Lonchura striata: one gene and its partner. The protein of the gene in region 1 purifies or fractionates together with the protein of each later gene. This does not show direct contact. Links are inferred from orthologs where the notes say so. Each region holds a gene or a part of one and is shown in the gene's direction. Other genes may lie near its edges.

Region 1 (8,476 bases):
TAGCTCTGGGAACAAAATGTACAATGCTAAGGGAAGATGTCTTATTCTTCTGGTTAGTAAATGAAAGTCACATTTTGGGGGCTAAAATCTACAACAACTAGTGTGGTGTCTGACCTACTCAAGAGGGAATGCCAAAGCCACCTGTCCAAAACCATCTTGTCTGGTTCTAGGTTCACAGCAAAGCTCCAGCTCCAGCTCCAGCTCCAGCTCCAGCCTGTACTTGGCTACACCTGTATCAGCAAATTAAGGATGATGAGGGCTCAGGATGGTGTGCCAGTCCTCAACTGTCCATGGTGTTAAACAGTTCCTGCTACAGGTACAGTCTAAGCAAGATATCCCTCTCTCAGGAAATGCCTGTGCACAGTTCATGGGATAGCATCAGATTGTTCTTCCCAGTGAGAAGTTTGGAGGTGGTCACCCTGCTACGGAGATGTTTTGGAGAAGAGTTTTGATGAATGGAAATAAGCTGTACTGTGCCCTCAATGACAGAAAACAAGCCCACCTTCCTGAGTGACACAAGTCTCGCTTCTGAGACTGGGATGATACAAATGACACAGATGTTGTTGGGACATCTTGGATGACCTCAGTCATGTGCTGTTAGAGGTAATTAACTTCTGGTTTTTTTGGTTAAACAGGACTGCTGCATTACTCCAATTACATATTTTGTTACATCTTCACACTTGGCTTGATAAATCTTGCAGAAAATGCTGAACTGCTTAGTCAAAGCAGCTCTGCCCTCCTCTGCCTCACCTATCATGGTCTTGTGGTAGACAAGGCAGTATTCATCTCACACATCCATCTATGCTTGGTAGTTAAACACAGGGCATGTCCCTAAGCACTGTTCCACAAAAAGCTGTATTGACTGCTTTTTTATTAGTCTGCTAAGCTTGTTGAAGACAGAAAATGCTTATGGAACAGAATGGTTAATGTCCGCACTATTACATCCTCTTACTTTCCAAAATAGGGTGCTTGTATGTAAACAGGGAATGGCCACAGGCTTGTGCTAACAGCTCTTGTGTCTAAGGATTATTTGAGATACTGTTAGTTGATATGGATGGGTTCCACAGATTAAAACTAACTAGGACAGGTAGACTAGCTGATTAATTAAAGAGAACAAAGGATTAAGGTGCAAGAAGTGATTTTTGAATCACTTTGATTTTAGTGTAATTCTAGCAGAGAAATTTCAGAATCATTGTTTGGTTGGGGTCTTTTTCCTATTAATTGATACTTGGTGTCTCGGGTACTTCAGCTTGGCATAAAAGAGAATATTTCTTTCCCAGAACTATTTTAGGAGCCATTATCTCAGACCACCACTCCCCTTATTTATGCAACCACATCTATAATAACAGAGGACCAGGGTTCTATGGAAGTGATAGGCAGAAGCAGATGGCAATGTGACAGGTATAGCTGTTGATCTCACATGGAGCAGCCAATGAAAAAGCACAGCAGTAGAACATTGTTTTAGGGGTTTTTGTGAATGCTTACCCTCAAAATGTCCTCCAGCCTCTCTGGTGGGTAATTGTTAATGAGCATGGTGCAATTGTAATTGACATTAAACAATTTCTTTTTTCCTTTAGTGTTTATGCCTTTGCCTCATAATCACTGAAGGATTTTTCTACAGCTCTGCCTTTGTCCTGGAAAAGAAAAACCAGTTCCTTGCACTTTTCTTTAATGAATGTAGATCCTACCAGCATTTTTTCAGGATTCCACCAAGTAGATGTATTTTTTTATGGTAAAATGCCAAAATAAGCACTGTACTAAAGTTTTGGCACTATTGATTACAGCTTCATAATTACTTTCGATATACTACATATGTTTCAATTAAGGTGCTCCACTAGAAAGATACAGTTCTTTTGGGTAGTATTTTTATTTCATTAGCACCAGTAGTCCCATGCAGCAGTCTCACATGGCTTTTGGGATCCACTTTAATCTCCTGATCTCTTTCTAAACAGTCTTTTAGGTTGCAAAAGACCTGTAAGATCATCAAGTCCAATCATTAACCCAGCACTGCCAGGTCCAGCACTTAGCCCTCAGTGTCCCTACACATCTTCTAAATACCTTCAGGAATGGTGACTTCACCATGTCCCTTGCACGACATCCCTTTTGTTGTTTTTCTTAAAACTTAAAGACGTTTTTCTTAATATCCAATCTAAATCTCCTCTGATGCAATTTTAATTGGTTGCTCAGCCAGATGTTCCTCGTTGCTTATTTGGTTTTCTTTCCTTAACTATCACTCTCCTCCTTTCTAGAATTCCACTTTATTTTGGACAGTTTGAATCTTGATGTTTTTTCAAGATTCATGTTCAGACGCTGTCTCATCCTGCAGCACACTGGACAGTTTTCCCATAGTGGTCACTTATGAATGGTAATGGAAATGGGATCTTGTCAAGCATGGAATAGACACCATGTTGTTCTTCCAATACCCACTGCTCTTTTGGGCTTTTTCCGTAGTTTTGGGTTCAGCCATTGAAGTTTCCTAATCAGTGTTTTTTCCAGACTGGGAGCATTGTGCTTCATGGGAGGTAATGTCAAAATCCTAATCTAAGTCCATCAGTGTCTACCATTATTGAATCCTGTGCTGCACCAAAAGCAGCATGGTCTGCAGGCCGTTCTCCCTCTCTGCTCTTGTCAGACCCCACCTGGAGTGCCATGTACAGTTCTCGTGTCTCCAACATAAAAAGGACATGGAATGGTTGGAGCAAGTCCAAAGGGTGGTCACAATGTTGGTAAGAGGACTGGGACGCTGTTGGGGGTTGGGTTTCGGTTTTTTCTGTTCTTTCCTATGGAAACTTGTAGAATTTCTTTGCACTGAGTTGCTAATAGGAACCGATGGTTTGAGAAGGGCAGGGAAGGGGAACTCTTTTAGTTTTTGGGAGTTTTTCTGGGGGCGATGTGGAGGATGGGGAGATTCAGGCTGAGAGAAGGGGCTGAGGACAGCTCCGGGCTGGCTCTCACTTTCTCGGCACTGGAGAGGGGCTGTGGGCACAGTGGAGAGAAGTCGCCACCACTGTGCAGCTCCATCCTTGCTGCCTTCTCCTACTACCACTGCAATCCAGCAGGGAACCTTTCTTCTGCCGCTGGGCCTCCACATTCCCCTGCCCTGCCAGGACACCCCACAGCTTCCAGCTATTTGCCGTGGAGTTTTGGGACACTCTCTTTCACTGCCCCAGGATTTCAGCTCATTCCTGCCATTTCCAGCCTGCTGCTCCCGAGAATCCTGCGAGGGACACCAAGATCGGCCGCCCCGGGGGTTTGTGAACAAAGCCTCTCCTCCGCCCCGCCTGTCTCCGCCGAGCTGCCATTGCCAGGGCGCCCCGAGCCCGCCGCAGCGCCCCCTGCAGCCGCGGGGGAGTCACCGCACCCGCGCCGCCCGCCGGCAGCCAGCAGCGCCCCCGCTGGCCGTGCCCGGAACTGCACGGAAGGGAAAGTGGCGCCCCGAAAGGTGTCAGCGCGTTCCGGGCTCGGTCTGGTGTTAATGCTGTAGTAGTTGTTGTTTGCTCGCTTTACTGTACATACCAGTAAAGAACTGATATTCCTACTCCCATATCTTTGCCTAAGAGCCCCTTAATTTCAAGATTATAATAATTTGGAGGGAAGATGTTCACATTCTCTGCTCCAAGGGAGGCTTTTCTGCCTTCCCTAGCAGACATCTATCTTGTAAACCAAGACAAACATCTCTTCTGTGAAGACAGACAGGGAGACGTGGTACTGAAATTAGCTGGATAGAAACTTTCTAGCACAGTTCTGAGTACCAGCTAGCAGGCATTCTTTATTAGAACATGCTGGGCTTTTTGAGGACATTTCCCCTAACTGATGCCCTGAGTGTCAGGTGTACAGTTTTTATCATAAACGCTGATTACATATTCATTAGCTATCCCTACTTCCTCGGCTTTATTTTACAAAGTCACAACACTTATGAAAGACCTTCTATTGGTTCTTTGGGGTCTGTCATCAAAGTCCAGTGTCCTTTTCAGGGGGATGTTCTTTCACCCCTGCTTTTGATTAAGTACAGTATCATTGCTTTGCTTAACTTCTACTATTTCAGCCTTGCAGAGCTGATCGGGCATCCTGCTTGCATTTTGCATTACTTTTGTTAGCCTGATTTACATCCTTTATTTATTTATCCAAGGCTGTGCTGTTCTCTTCTACTGTCCTTGGTAGGAAGTTGTTCCTTATCAAGTGAGTGAAATGCTGTTCTACTGTGCTTATCAGGGGCTGTTCAGCATGAAGAAAAGGTTGTGTGGGGACCTCACAGCAGCCTTCCAGTATCTTAGGGGGGCCAACAGGGAAGCTGGAAAAGGACTTTTCGTCAGGAACTGTAGTGATAGGAAAAGAAGTAATGGGTAAAATTTGAAAAGGGGGGGGGGGAATTTAAGTTAGATATTAGAAAGAAATTTTTTACTCTGAGAGTGGTGAAACACTGGAAGAGGTTGCCCAGGGAGGCTGTGGATACCCCAACCGTGGCAGTCTTCAAGGACACACTGGGTAACGCTTTGAGCAACCTGGTCGAGTGGGAGGTGTCCCTGCCCACAGCAGGAATGTTTAGGACGGATGAACTTTAAGGTCCATTCCGAACCCTTAACATTCTGTGATAACCCAGTGCATCCATTTTATGCTGGCATCCTTTGCTCAACCACGTTCTGCAGAATCCATTAGCTCTTAGAGCAGGATGTGTGCTACAGCTGAATGGATGATTTAGTCCAACCCAGGCCCTCAGTTCTACTCCCAGGGAGCACGAGGAGAAAAAGAAAAACCGAGTAGCTATTCAGCGCGGCATGAGCCGTCTGCAGGGAGCTGGCTTGTGAAGCCCCTTCCTGCCCCACCTCCGCGGCCGTGCCCCGCCACGCGGTTCAGCTGCGCGGGCGCTGCGCCGGGCTCCCAGGCGCCGGGCCGCCCCTCCATCCCGCCGCTACCCCCGGCCCACCCCTACACCACGTGTAACAGCGCCTGCCATCCATTGGGAGGCAGGGCCGGGCGGGCGTGTCCGCGCAGGAGATCTAAGGCGGCGGCGGGGAGCCGGGGGTCGTGGCTGCGCTGCCTCGCCGCTTGCCCGAGCCCCCGGCTGGGTGAGTGTGGGACGGGGCGGGCGGGCCCCACGCGGTGCGTCCATTTCGCGCGGTGCAGCAGGCACGGCGCGGCGCGGCACGGCGCGGCGCTCCCGGCCCGCTGCGGGCCCCGCGGCGCGTCCCTGCCTCGCCTGACCGCCACCCCCATCCCTTCTTTTGCCTAGCTTCTCTGCGGGGCGAGCAGCCGCAGGGAGCGTGCTGTGCTGGAGGTGAAGGCCCCGGTGCCGAGGAGAGACCCTGGGCCATGTCCCGAAGCCCTTTTCTGCCGTGCTGTGCTTTGCTTCCTAAGTCAAATTGCAGAAGACTGAGAATTTACCGAGAATGGGGGTATCGCCCATAGGGCTCATAGCCAGCCCAGTATCCCAGGAGTTCTTGGAGCCTGCTGCTCCCAAACCCGCTCCTCTGAGCAGGACAGGGAATTATCTCCGTTTGGATTGTCAGTACTTTGCAGGCAGCTGTTCTGGTTAAGAGATGATGCGTTTCATCGTTTTCTGCATATGTATGTGTGAATGTGTGGGTGACAGATGTGATGGAGCAAGGGGAACCCACTAAAAATCCTTAAGAGGAAAATTGTGTGTAGCTACGGCTGGAGAGGAAGATTGAGACTAGATTGGGAATTGCTAGTTATCTCTGTTGTCAGCTGCTAGAAACTTTAATTTTGGAGCAAGGTGGTGTTTTTGTAGGTGCTGTATAGAGTCGTGACAGAAAGGCAATTGCAGCTCTACACAGGCTGCAGATCTGAGCCAAAGAGTTGATGATAATGGTGCTCATTTGATAGCCGGCTCACTTGCCTGTGGTCATTTGCAAATGTTACTTTGTGCTTGAACAACGACGGCATGGTGAAGGATACCCTACCCTGCCTCCCTTTGCCTGCCTCTGTGGGCTCTGCTAAGCCACGGGGACAAGTGTTGAAGATGTGGTTACACATGGCAATGCAAGCGTCATGTGGGACCCTCTGCAGTGGCACAGCAATGCCTCTTGAAGCCCTTAGTTCACTCGCTGATGCTTGACTGCTGTCTCCAAGTTAGAGGTAAATACAATGAACACTTGGAAAGAACAGGCAGAAATTTATCCTTCTGGTCAGGTGCTCTACCAACTTGTGTTGCCTTCAGTGGCCATCTGGACATGTTTTTTGGACAAGCTTTCCATATAATGCAAAAGACTGTAACGGCACAGGCTCCGTAGTTGCAAGTGCTGACCCTGGAACAAAGCAGGAGCAAGCTTTGCCACAAGCTTTGAAAGTTACAAGCTTTGCATTCAAGTACTTGAAGTATCTTGCATTTTGAGTGATCTGACAGGGTCAGACCTTGACTGTGCTCTATCACATGCATGCTTTAGATGGTCACGTTGGCTTTGAATTAAAGCCTTTTTTTTGGGCAGGGGAGCTAATTGGTGTTTAGTCCCTGACTTATGCCACTTTTTGGTGGTATTTGTAAAATTTTGAGTCTTGCTGCTTATAGGGCTGTGCTTAACAGTGAGGAGGTGTGTTCAGAAGGCACTTCTTATTTCAAGTGGGTGTAACAGAAACCTGAGGTCTACTAGGCTTCTAATTCAGGCACTTCCGTTGTGTGTGTGGTTGAGATGCAATATGCTCTTCACTCCTCATGGAGTATATTCTTGCAATATCTTTTCTAATCGGAAGGCATTATCTCAGAGAAGAGGAAGCTAGTAACTGTTTAACCAGTTACTGGAGAAACCAGTTCCAAGGCGTATTTTTGCAAGATCTGTCACTCCTTTTTTTTTCCTTCTCTTTTCCTTTCTTTTTTTTTTTTTCTTCCTCCTTCCTTCCTGAGTAGTCTGTTGCCAGGTGGCAGGTAGTATTCATTCTCATGTTGATATGCTTGAGTTCTGTGTCTCTGCTTTCAGTTGTGTGACATAGGAAATAGTTAGATTTGGTCCTCTTGGAGTCATTTTCCAACCTTAACAATAGCATGATTCTGAGATGACAGGAGTGAGTTCCACTCTAGCTAATGTTGTGCACAGTTGCTGGCCTGGTGTGTGCAAGAGGGAGGGAGAAAAAAAAGAGTAGTGGGAAAAGAAGAAAAAGTACATGGGAAAGAAGAGAGGGAGAAATATGGTTCGAGTGAAGGAGGGCAGGGGTCTTACTGCAATTACTGCCTCTGCTACCTAGTTCACTCTTGATCTAGCATGTTCCTTAACCCTGAGGACAGGTTAACAAGACTTTGGTAGCCTTTCAGAAATGTCACTTCCAATTGTATCCTAGGTTTAAGTGAATAGAAAGCAAACTGGTAAGTTTAATTTTCTTCTCTTGCCCCATATCTGTGATGCTAAAAGCATCAGTGTAGAGTGGGGCAGGAGGAGAATAGAGTTCCTTTGTCTGCAGATGTGCTGAGTAGATGTTGGCTTGATCCTGATGGGATTTATTGGTTCTGCCATCCTGGTTACCAAGGCAGATGGGGATGCGACACAGCCCCTTTGCCACTCCTGAAGGATGAGCTAGGAAATCCTGCTGATTTAACTCTGTGGAGTGGTGCGGGGAGATATTTCAGTGCTTTGGGCAGAGTTGTTTGGGGTCAGCTGCAGTCAATGCTGACCCAGAGTTAGTAAGTTAGTAAACCAGGATGGGTGTTCTGTATCCTAGATTTTTTTTTTGCATTACCTGTTATATCCCCATCTTTCATTATCCCAAGGTCAAAATCTTTGAAAATCTGTCACGTGTTGAATGGTGTTGAAGGTGGCATTGATCTGGCCATATGTACTCATCCATCTCCAAAATGGTTAGCCAGGAGAGGGATGGGCATTCCGGGATGTGATTCACCTCAGCCCTGTACGCTTAAGCAAATGAGTTGTGACCTGACATGCTCATGTACTCATCTGCTTTCCACCGAGTATAAAAGAAAGCATGAATGATCCAAGTGTTTATCTCAAAAAACTTGTGGGGTTCTTGGAAACCTCAAGGACTTTGGGAAGAGTTACAGCAGTTTTGCCATAAGGGTCGGTTTGTTTTGGTACTTGGGCACTCCCTTGTTAGTGCAGTTGTTGCAGTCTTGCTGGCTACTAAAACCTATTTAAAAAAAAAAGAAAAAGAAAAAGGTATAACTGAGTCTGATGGTCAAACAAAACAAGGGGCGGCTCTCACTTGACATATGATGGGCCCACTAGTTGCAGGATTCTTGACTATTGTCTGTGGTTCCTGGGTCGTTTGGAGGTGTCAGGGATCAGGAGCTAGGGCTCACACCTTCCTGTTGTGGTTTGTAGAAATCTAATGCCTCTTGCCCTGGCAGAACTGGCTGGAGCTGCCTTCCCCTGCTGGTGAGTCAGCAGCTGATGCCCTTGCCAGGGTCACTGACGCTGCTGGAGATCACCAAGGTGGCAGATCATAAATCCTGCGAGTAGTATCAGAAGTGCCTGATTTCAGAGTTTCCAAAATAGAATACTGTGGGATGCTT
Region 2 (8,230 bases), on another chromosome or scaffold:
GTTTGTGCCACTCCAGGAGCTGGCCTGGAGGCTGCAGCAGCCTCTTGTTGCCCAGGCCTGAACTCAGCTATCTTGGCCATTGTGCTATGGGCCAGTGACCAAGCAGGAGCTGTCATCAAGCACCACTCTCCTCATCCTCTTCTTCTGCCCTCTTCCAATCCCATGGATCTTCCTTTTAAAAGAAGCTGGATATAGTTCCCAAATATGGTGATGTCACACCAGAGAAGGGCTGCCAAAGAACCAAAGGTTCCCTGTTGGTACAGGGCCATTATTTTACAGCAGTATCGCAAGTCTGGAAATCTAGACCCTGTAAGATTTATATTTGGCTATGAATAAATGCTGCTTTTTCCTCTTGAGATGATAACCCAGATTCTCATGTATTTTTTTAAATGAAAAGTTTCATAAAGATGACATGTTAAATTATTCCACAAGGGATTAGTCCAAAACTCACCTTTCTAGTTTCCAGCTGAGCTTCTTCTTGGCAGCACTCCCTGCAGAACGGGTCCAACTGATTCAGATTGAACTGCCCAAGAAGGTTGCAAGAACTGCACAGCAAGTTACTGGAGAAGCCCAGCTCTCTGCAAGCTTCTGATGACAACTGTGCTCCATAAACACTTACCTGAAAGTCAACACAATGTTACACTTAATATTAATTTATTTTGTTAAAAGATGGCTTTAAATGCTGCAATGATTAGAAAGAACAAGTTAGTCACTTGTGACTGTTTTACAGTAATGCCTAAATGGTCAGCCCTAGGGTTCAAAACACCACCCTACTGAGGAGGAGGGTCTTGACCTATCAGGGAGTTCTAGACATTCGTAATATATACATTCCAAGGTATCAGACCTTCCAAAAATAATTTATATACACTTCTGATAGCTCTATTGCTTTCTTATTGCTAAGTTCAAGTTAAGAAGAAAACCCAAAGGTAATGAATTAGCTGAAATGCACATGATTACAGCTTTCCAAAGCCTCCTCTTCAAAAAGAATTTCAGTAAGTTTTGGATCACTGAAAACTCTCAAGGAAAGTAATGTAACAGCTAAACTCAGGAAAAACACACCAGGAAGTGATGAAATTAACCAAAGTGCTCAAAACGACATCCAGGTAGGATTTTAATTTCATGATTGCATTAATGTTCCAGGAAAATTGCACACACTATTAAGTGGAAGTGCAGATAAAAACCTGCAATTCTGATTTATCAGCAAAAGTTTAAGACAGGCCATTCAATTACATGGTTTCTATGCAAAACACCATCTCTGCTTTTTATCGGCGCCAAAATAACGCAACCAATGACAACACTGAAATGATATTTGGGTTTTGTTCTCATAGAATCACTAAGGGTGGAAAAGACCTCTAAGATTATAATTGAGTCCAATCATTAACCCAGCACTACAGTGTTCAGCCCCAAACCCTGTCCCAAGTGCCACATCCATGTGCCTTTTGAACACTCCCAGGGATGGTGATTCCACCACTTCCCTGGGCAGCCCATTCCAGTGCCTGACCACCTTTTCAGTGAAGAAATTATTCCTAATATCCTCTCTAAACCTCCCCTTGTGCAAGCTGAAGCAATCTTCTCTCATCCCATCACTTGCTACCTGGGAGAACAGGCCGACCCCCAGCTGGCCACACTCTCCTTTCAGGCACTTGTAGAGACTGTGAAGCTCCCCCTGAACCTCCTTTTCTCCCAGATGAGCTCCCCCAGGTGCTCCTCACAGAACCTGTGCTCCACACCCTTCCCCAGCTCCACTGTCCTCCTCTGGGCTCACTCCAGCCCCTCAATACCTTTCTTGTAGCAAATTCTCATTCCCACTTTTTTACACATTGGCTTAAAACCTCCCCTTGCAGCTGCTTGCTTTGGAGGGGAAAATGTGAGAGAGGAAATAAGGAAGGGAGAGACAGGAGGTGGCTTTCCCAGATGCTTTTCAGTCTGGGTAAAAGACCCCAGGCACAACCCAGTACATGCAAAGCACCAGAGAAACAATGAGCATCACTGTGCTCAGAGCTGTGACAGGCACCAGCAAACTCAACTGGATGATGACAAGCCAAGACTCAGAAGAACTATGCTGGGTCCAACAGAAAAGTACAGGAGAAAAACTATGTTTGTCATTCAGCAAAACAGACTTCTCCTCACATTCACATGCCATCTAATCCATGCAGCACACCCAAGTTACGTAGAGACAAAACCCATTTCCTCTGCTGAAGTGGCCAGCCTGCAGCTGAAGGAAAGACATGTCACTTGTGTGACAGATAGAACACATTATGGATTGAGGATTGGTAGAAAATGTATTAGGTGCCTCATTATTCTATTTCTCTGTAGGTACTAAAAAAGTCAGAGTTAAAGCACGAACAGAGAAGTATAAAACACAAAAAACCTACTCTGAAATCACTATTTTATCAGGAAAAAAGCTATTTTTCTTCTTCCTACATGGCACTGTATGACAATGGAACCCTGTTCTACTGGAATAATTTAACCTTTTTTAAGGATTTTTACTAAGGTAATTAGTTTTCAAAGTACTGAGTATTTACCTTTTTTCAAGTATTTGTTTTCTAAGGAATACTGGCAATAAGAAATACAACAATGACACAGTAGTATAAAAAGCCCCCAAGGAGCATTCTGAACCCTGCTGAAGCTATATTTTAATTATGGCTCACTTATTAAATTAATGATGCCAATAACTAAAACCATTTTCTTGCACCTTGCTGCTTGCCATCCGCCCCTTTGATGTTTTACTGTCATGTTTTCACTTCAGTGTCACTGAAGTGTCACTGTTCCCCTGGAGCAATAACTGGGCTGTAGCACTGTCACTTTGCTTCCAGCAGCCTCTCTGTGACATCTTTGCCCAGCAGATCCCCAATCCATGAATGTAAAGCCAAGAATCTCCTGAGGACTTTTTTTTTTTGGGTTGTGTGTTTGAGAAAGAACCAACCAAAACACTAACAGTGTATGAAAGCAAGTAAAGGCTCCATTTCATGATAATTCCTCACTCAAGTGGTTTTGGTTACATAGCAAGCTCAAAACACCTTGAGAATAAAAGTACACAGAGGTAAAGGAAAAAATAAATAGAAGAAAGTCTCTATCCCTAATATTTTTACACAATTTTTAGTATCTTAACTACCACATTTTCAGGAAACAATAAATCACTAATCATAATAAATGTCTCTGATTGGGATTGGAAAAAACCCCTCACACTTCAGAAAGCAAATTCCCATCAGAACAAGGTAATTTCAGGCACTTAGTAAGTGATGCGCCTCATTTCATCAGCGTTTTCTCCACAAAGGCTTTGGCTCCAAATACATACTACACTGTTGCTTTGTTTTCACACCAAATAATTTACTGTATTAAAAAAAAAGGCAGCGCCAATGCAAACTATTTTAGAAAAAGGGCAGAAGTAGAGCCCAGTTTCCGACACGGAACGCAAAAGAGGCGCCACGGCCGCAGGAGCGGGAGGAGGCGCGCCCCGGGCCACGTCTTACGCCGCCTTCCCCGCCCTCAACCCCGCTCTTTCTCGCAGGAGCTGCAGCCGCGCTCAGCCCCGAGCGCGACCGCGCCGGCCGGGCTCTCACCGCCTGCAGCCCCAGGAGCCAGCAGAGCCAGCGCCGCCCCAGCGCCCGCAGCTCGGCCGCCGCCGCCATCTCGGTGCCGAGCGCCCCGCCAGCGCCGCCGGGCCGCGGAAGGACCTCACCCACGGCGGGTGACCGACACACCGCCTGATGCGGGAGAGCATAGACTTGCTCCCAGCCCCAGCACTGCAAGCAGAAACTGCTAACCCAGAGTATCTCCTGGAATTCTAGAGCAAAGACATTTTAGCCTGTTCAGAGCAGTGCTTCGCAGCGAGGCTGGAGGAACTACCGTTCCCCAACGCTGGTCGGGCATTGCGGAAACCACCCCGAATAAAGCCCTTTTCCCTTTCTCGGGAACTGCCAACCGTCACCTCGGCCCCAGCCCGGTGACTGACAGCCGGCCCGACCAATACCATTGTGCTTTCCCCACGGCCTGCGGTGCCCGTGCCCAACGAGGAGGGGCGGATGGGCGGGACCGCAAGCAGCGCCTTCCAATCAGAAAGGGACGCATAGAGGCGGGACACCGCCCCGCTCCGGCGGCGCAGCGCGGCTGGGGAGGCGGGGCGAGTCCCGCGCCGGGCCAATCGGACAGCGCGAGGGGCGGGGCCGCGGCAGCGCCGCCCAATGGCGGGGCCGCGGGGCGGGGCCCAGCGCGGCCGGCGGCGGCGGGGGCGGGGCGGGCGCGCGGCCGGGCGTTCGGTTGCCGAGCAGCGCGCGCAGGGCGGGCGGGGCGGGGCGGGGCGCGGCGGGGGCCGGGCCGGGCCGGGCCGGGCCGGGCCGCGCGGGCGGGGCGGGCGCGCTGCGGGCCGCGCGCGGCGATGTGAGAGCGGCGGCGCCGGGCCCTGTGCGCGCCCCCGGGCCCTGTGCGCGCCCCCGGCCGCGCTCCCTCCGTCCCTGCTCGGCCGCGCCGTCGCCGCGGCTCCCGCCGGCCCCCGCGGGCCGGGCCCCGCGTTATGTCGTGATCCCGGGCGGGCGGCGCTGCTGCTGCTGCTCATGGGGCTGCTCAGGATTATGCTGCCGCCCAAGTTGCAGCTGCTGGCGGTGCTGGTGTTCGGGGTGGCCGTGCTGTTCCTGGAGAACCAGATCCAGAAGCTGGAGGAGTCCCGCGGCAAGCTGGGTGAGCGGCGGCGGGCGCGGCCGGGGGCGCGGGGGGCTGCGGGAGCCGGGCCGGGCCGGGGCAGCCCCGGCCGCGGGCGCTGCCGTGCCCCGGCGCCGCGGGACCGGGTCGGGGCGGGCCGGCTGCTCTGCAGCAGGGGCTGTCCGCGGCAGCCTTGGCCTCTGAGCGCATCTGTTTGCTCTGGGCGGTCGGGGCTGGGAGGACAGGCGTGTCTCCCGTGTCCGAAGGGGCTCTGGCAGAGCCGCGGTGCCCCCGGCCGTGGGCAGCGGCCCCCGGCCCTGCCGGTGCCTCCTCGGGCACCTGGCGAGGCAGGGGAGCAGCAGCCGCGGCGCCCGAACCGAGGCTGGTGCTGCTGCTGCTGCAGCCAATTACCATCCTCACATCTCATTCCTAATTCTGACTTTTTACTAACGCTTGGCACTGTAATGGAAAGCACGGTGTAAAGGAAAGAAAGCTAAAGATTTTGCTCTTAATGACAAATGGGTAATTTGTTTACCACTCATTTAATGTAGGATGTTATTTTCTGCATTTACTGAGTGTAGTTAGTGATTTCCTAGACTGTCACTGAGCTGTGCTAAAGTGAAAAGCGGTGAACTAGAAATCTCTTGTGTAAAATTTCTTCTACTTTTCCTGCCTGAAAGGATATTTTTAGAGTAATATCTGCCTAATAGGTAATATTTTACTTATTTTACTACTTTTTTCTGTTGTACATAAGGCTGCAGAACTTGTAAAGATTTTACATTGCTTAATTAAGGGTCTCCTGGATGTGAAAAAACACCATTCTCAACCTAATTTGTGGTGCCTAGGAGTTGTGAAAACAGAGCACTGAGACTTCTGGTGTATACAAGATAAGGAACTGGTTTGCAAACATTGTGGATTTGCTTTCTCCTATTATTTAACTATACAAAATATTTACATTATTAACAGTAGTTAATAGAGTAAATTGAAGTTTGTAGGAAGAAAAGTGCACATTGTGTTCCTTCTGGTGTTAACAGTAGAAGTGGATTTGAGTGACATGGGAAGTTTAACAATGAGTTTTTAACAGAGTCCACATAACTTAATGTTGAGCTGTATGAATGCCATTGGGATTTTACTTCACAGCATTTCTTTTCCTCTCCACTCTCTGAACTGCATATTAGTGATTAGGGCCCTGGAAATTGCAGTGGTTGCCTGAGGTGAGGGAGGCCCTTACTCTGCATACTTTTCAACTGAAAGTTCTTACCAGTTATAATTGAGGCATTTTTTTGCAGAGTCTCAATAACTGTAAACAAGCATTTGAAGAAGAAAACTAAGGAAATTGGAAGATAAAGCAAGCAAGTGTTGCCACAGTGCTGAAGGTTCAGTGGTACTTTGTATACATCTGCTTTAAAGTGGTTCATAGCCATGGCTTCAATGCTTCTGTTGCTGACAGTGTGTGTTACTTTAGGGAAATCTCTTGGCATGAAAAGGATAACATAATGTGTGTGAGAATAAAGAATTTTGCTGATAAAACTTCTTCCTCCCTAATATATATGCGATGGACATGTTTAACTTACATATTTAGAGGATTAAAATACTCAAACTGCTTTGGGACAAGAATCTAATCTGATTTTTTTTCTTGAGGAGAAGGGAAAACTATTGTGAAGTTTCTTAAAATTAAAATGGAAAGATTTGCTTTGTGTGCAACTTACTGGTGGCTCTCCAAAACCTGTGGAAGGAAGGGGAAAAGAACTTTCTACAGCAGCTTTGAACTCAGATTCCAGTTTTTTGTATGAGAGTATGCTTGTTAAAAAGCTTCTAATTGTCTGAATGTCTCCCTTATCACATCTGGTATGTATTTTATGACTAGCAAATATTCATATTTCATTATGGCTGTTTTTTACTATCATGATTGGTTAGATTTCTCCCGAGCTGCATTGTGGAAAATGTTTTTTCCAGATCAAAGTATTTAATTGGCCTAATACACTTGAATGCAAATTTTCTTCCCTGCCTCCTAAAAGAATGGTGTGGGTATGTGTGGAGTGATACTATGCTTTGAGGGTAAGGACAAAGTAGCTCTTTCAGTTTTGTTTCAGTGGGTGCTTTATGTCAAAAATCTTGTTACACAGTGTTTGGGGACTGGGTTTTGAGCTATGCCATGTGTTTACATTGATGTATCATATGATAAACTGTCATCTTGGAAAGTTCTTGTAAGAGTTAGGCATTGGCTAGGAAAACCAAATTACTTCAGATTTGATAGGAAAATAATTGTGCAGTCTTATTAGCAGTTCTAAAAATGTTCAACTGTACTTTCAGACAGAAAGGGCTTTATCCAAATCCTTCTCATATGAGCAACTCCAAATTCTGTAGTGAACAATTGGGGGCCCTAATTTCAGTTTAATAACTTAAAATATCTTGCCTATAAAGTGAAATTGGAGCGTGTTTCAGGGTGAAAAAGGAATAGGAACCACTTTTTTTTTTTTCTCTAAAACTTTATATGGGTAAGCTTGGTCACCCTGGCAGGCTTCTTAGTTGAGAAGTGAAGGACATATAAGCAAATGACCATCACAAATGCTGCTGCTTTTTGTTGACAAAATTGCTATGATCCTTTAAAAGGGTATTTATAAACATGTGGGCTTTTTCATATGAAAAATGACTTCCTAATTAAAGAAGGTAAATCAAAATATTAACTTCTTCGCAGCTATGTACAAGCAGTTTGTAGTGGTGAGATCACAAGCAGAATGTGAACAATTTGAAATATGTTTTTTGTGAGATTTCTACCTACAGCTATTAATCTTTCATATTATTTTCAAGTTTACATGATAAATTTGCATGCTCTCCAGACTAAGCTGTCCCTAATTGCCAGTGAGAACTTTAAAGTTTTTATTTAAGCATGGTGTAGGTATGTGCCCTAGCTCTAGGAATGCACAGGTCTAATAGAGAATATTGCACATGAAAGGCAAATGTTGAGGTTTAACTGTTGTTCGTGGAACAGAAGGACAGAAGTAATGTCTGGCTGTCCCTTTTGGGTTTTGGAGTGCAGCTCTGCCTTCGGTATAAATTGACCTAGCATTTAATATGTTTTATGTGTACCATGCCATCTCCTGCATTGTCATTAGTATTTGTGGTGCATTGGATCAAAAAAATGATCCAGCTGGATGTAATCAATCTTCTCTTCCCTCCACAAGATTTTGTAATCTATTGGTGGGGAGAAGGAAGAGCTAAGTTCTTATGTGTTCTAGTTCTTCTGTTTAAATAATAGTGTTTTAAACACCAAGCAGTAGATGCACTTCAGGTTTTGCTAGGAAAGTGGGAGAAGACAGTGTCTCATTTGAGGATTGAAGTCTGTAGGACTGATGAGAGAAGGTGAGGATAGGAGATGGAGAAAGATTGCTCTTTGGGGGGAAATGAAACAATAATGCTGCTTTCTAGCATTTTAGTGATGTTTCCATATTGCATTGGAAAAAGGCTTTGTCTGAGAAACAGAATATACCATAACAGGGAAAGCAAGGATTGAACCTGCTTCAGATCATGTTGAAAAACTTCATAGCTGTAATGTGGGAGTGTTTCTTCTGTTAAGTGATAACAAAATAAT

Evidence for each region.
Region 2: the proteins of SLC7A1 (region 1) and HS2ST1 purify together in Homo sapiens (co-immunoprecipitation; 3 studies listed by BioGRID and IntAct, counting the BioPlex papers as one, with this or other methods). This does not show direct contact. The link is inferred for Lonchura striata from reciprocal best matches to the Homo sapiens genes SLC7A1 and HS2ST1.

The regions. Positions count from the first base shown.
Region 1 is NC_134604.1:68,389,009-68,397,484, forward strand, and holds the start of SLC7A1 (high affinity cationic amino acid transporter 1), read left to right. Parts: upstream 1-4,950; 5' UTR 4,951-5,066; intron 5,067-8,476. UniProt on the Homo sapiens protein: High-affinity, low capacity permease involved in the transport of the cationic amino acids (arginine, lysine and ornithine) in non-hepatic tissues.
Region 2 is NC_134611.1:18,750,771-18,759,000, forward strand, and holds the start of HS2ST1 (heparan sulfate 2-O-sulfotransferase 1), read left to right. Parts: upstream 1-4,443; 5' UTR 4,444-4,553; coding exon 4,554-4,677; intron 4,678-8,230. UniProt on the Homo sapiens protein: Catalyzes the transfer of a sulfo group from 3'-phospho-5'-adenylyl sulfate (PAPS) to the 2-OH position of iduronic acid (IdoA) or glucuronic acid (GlcA) within the heparan sulfate (HS) chain and participates in HS biosynthesis.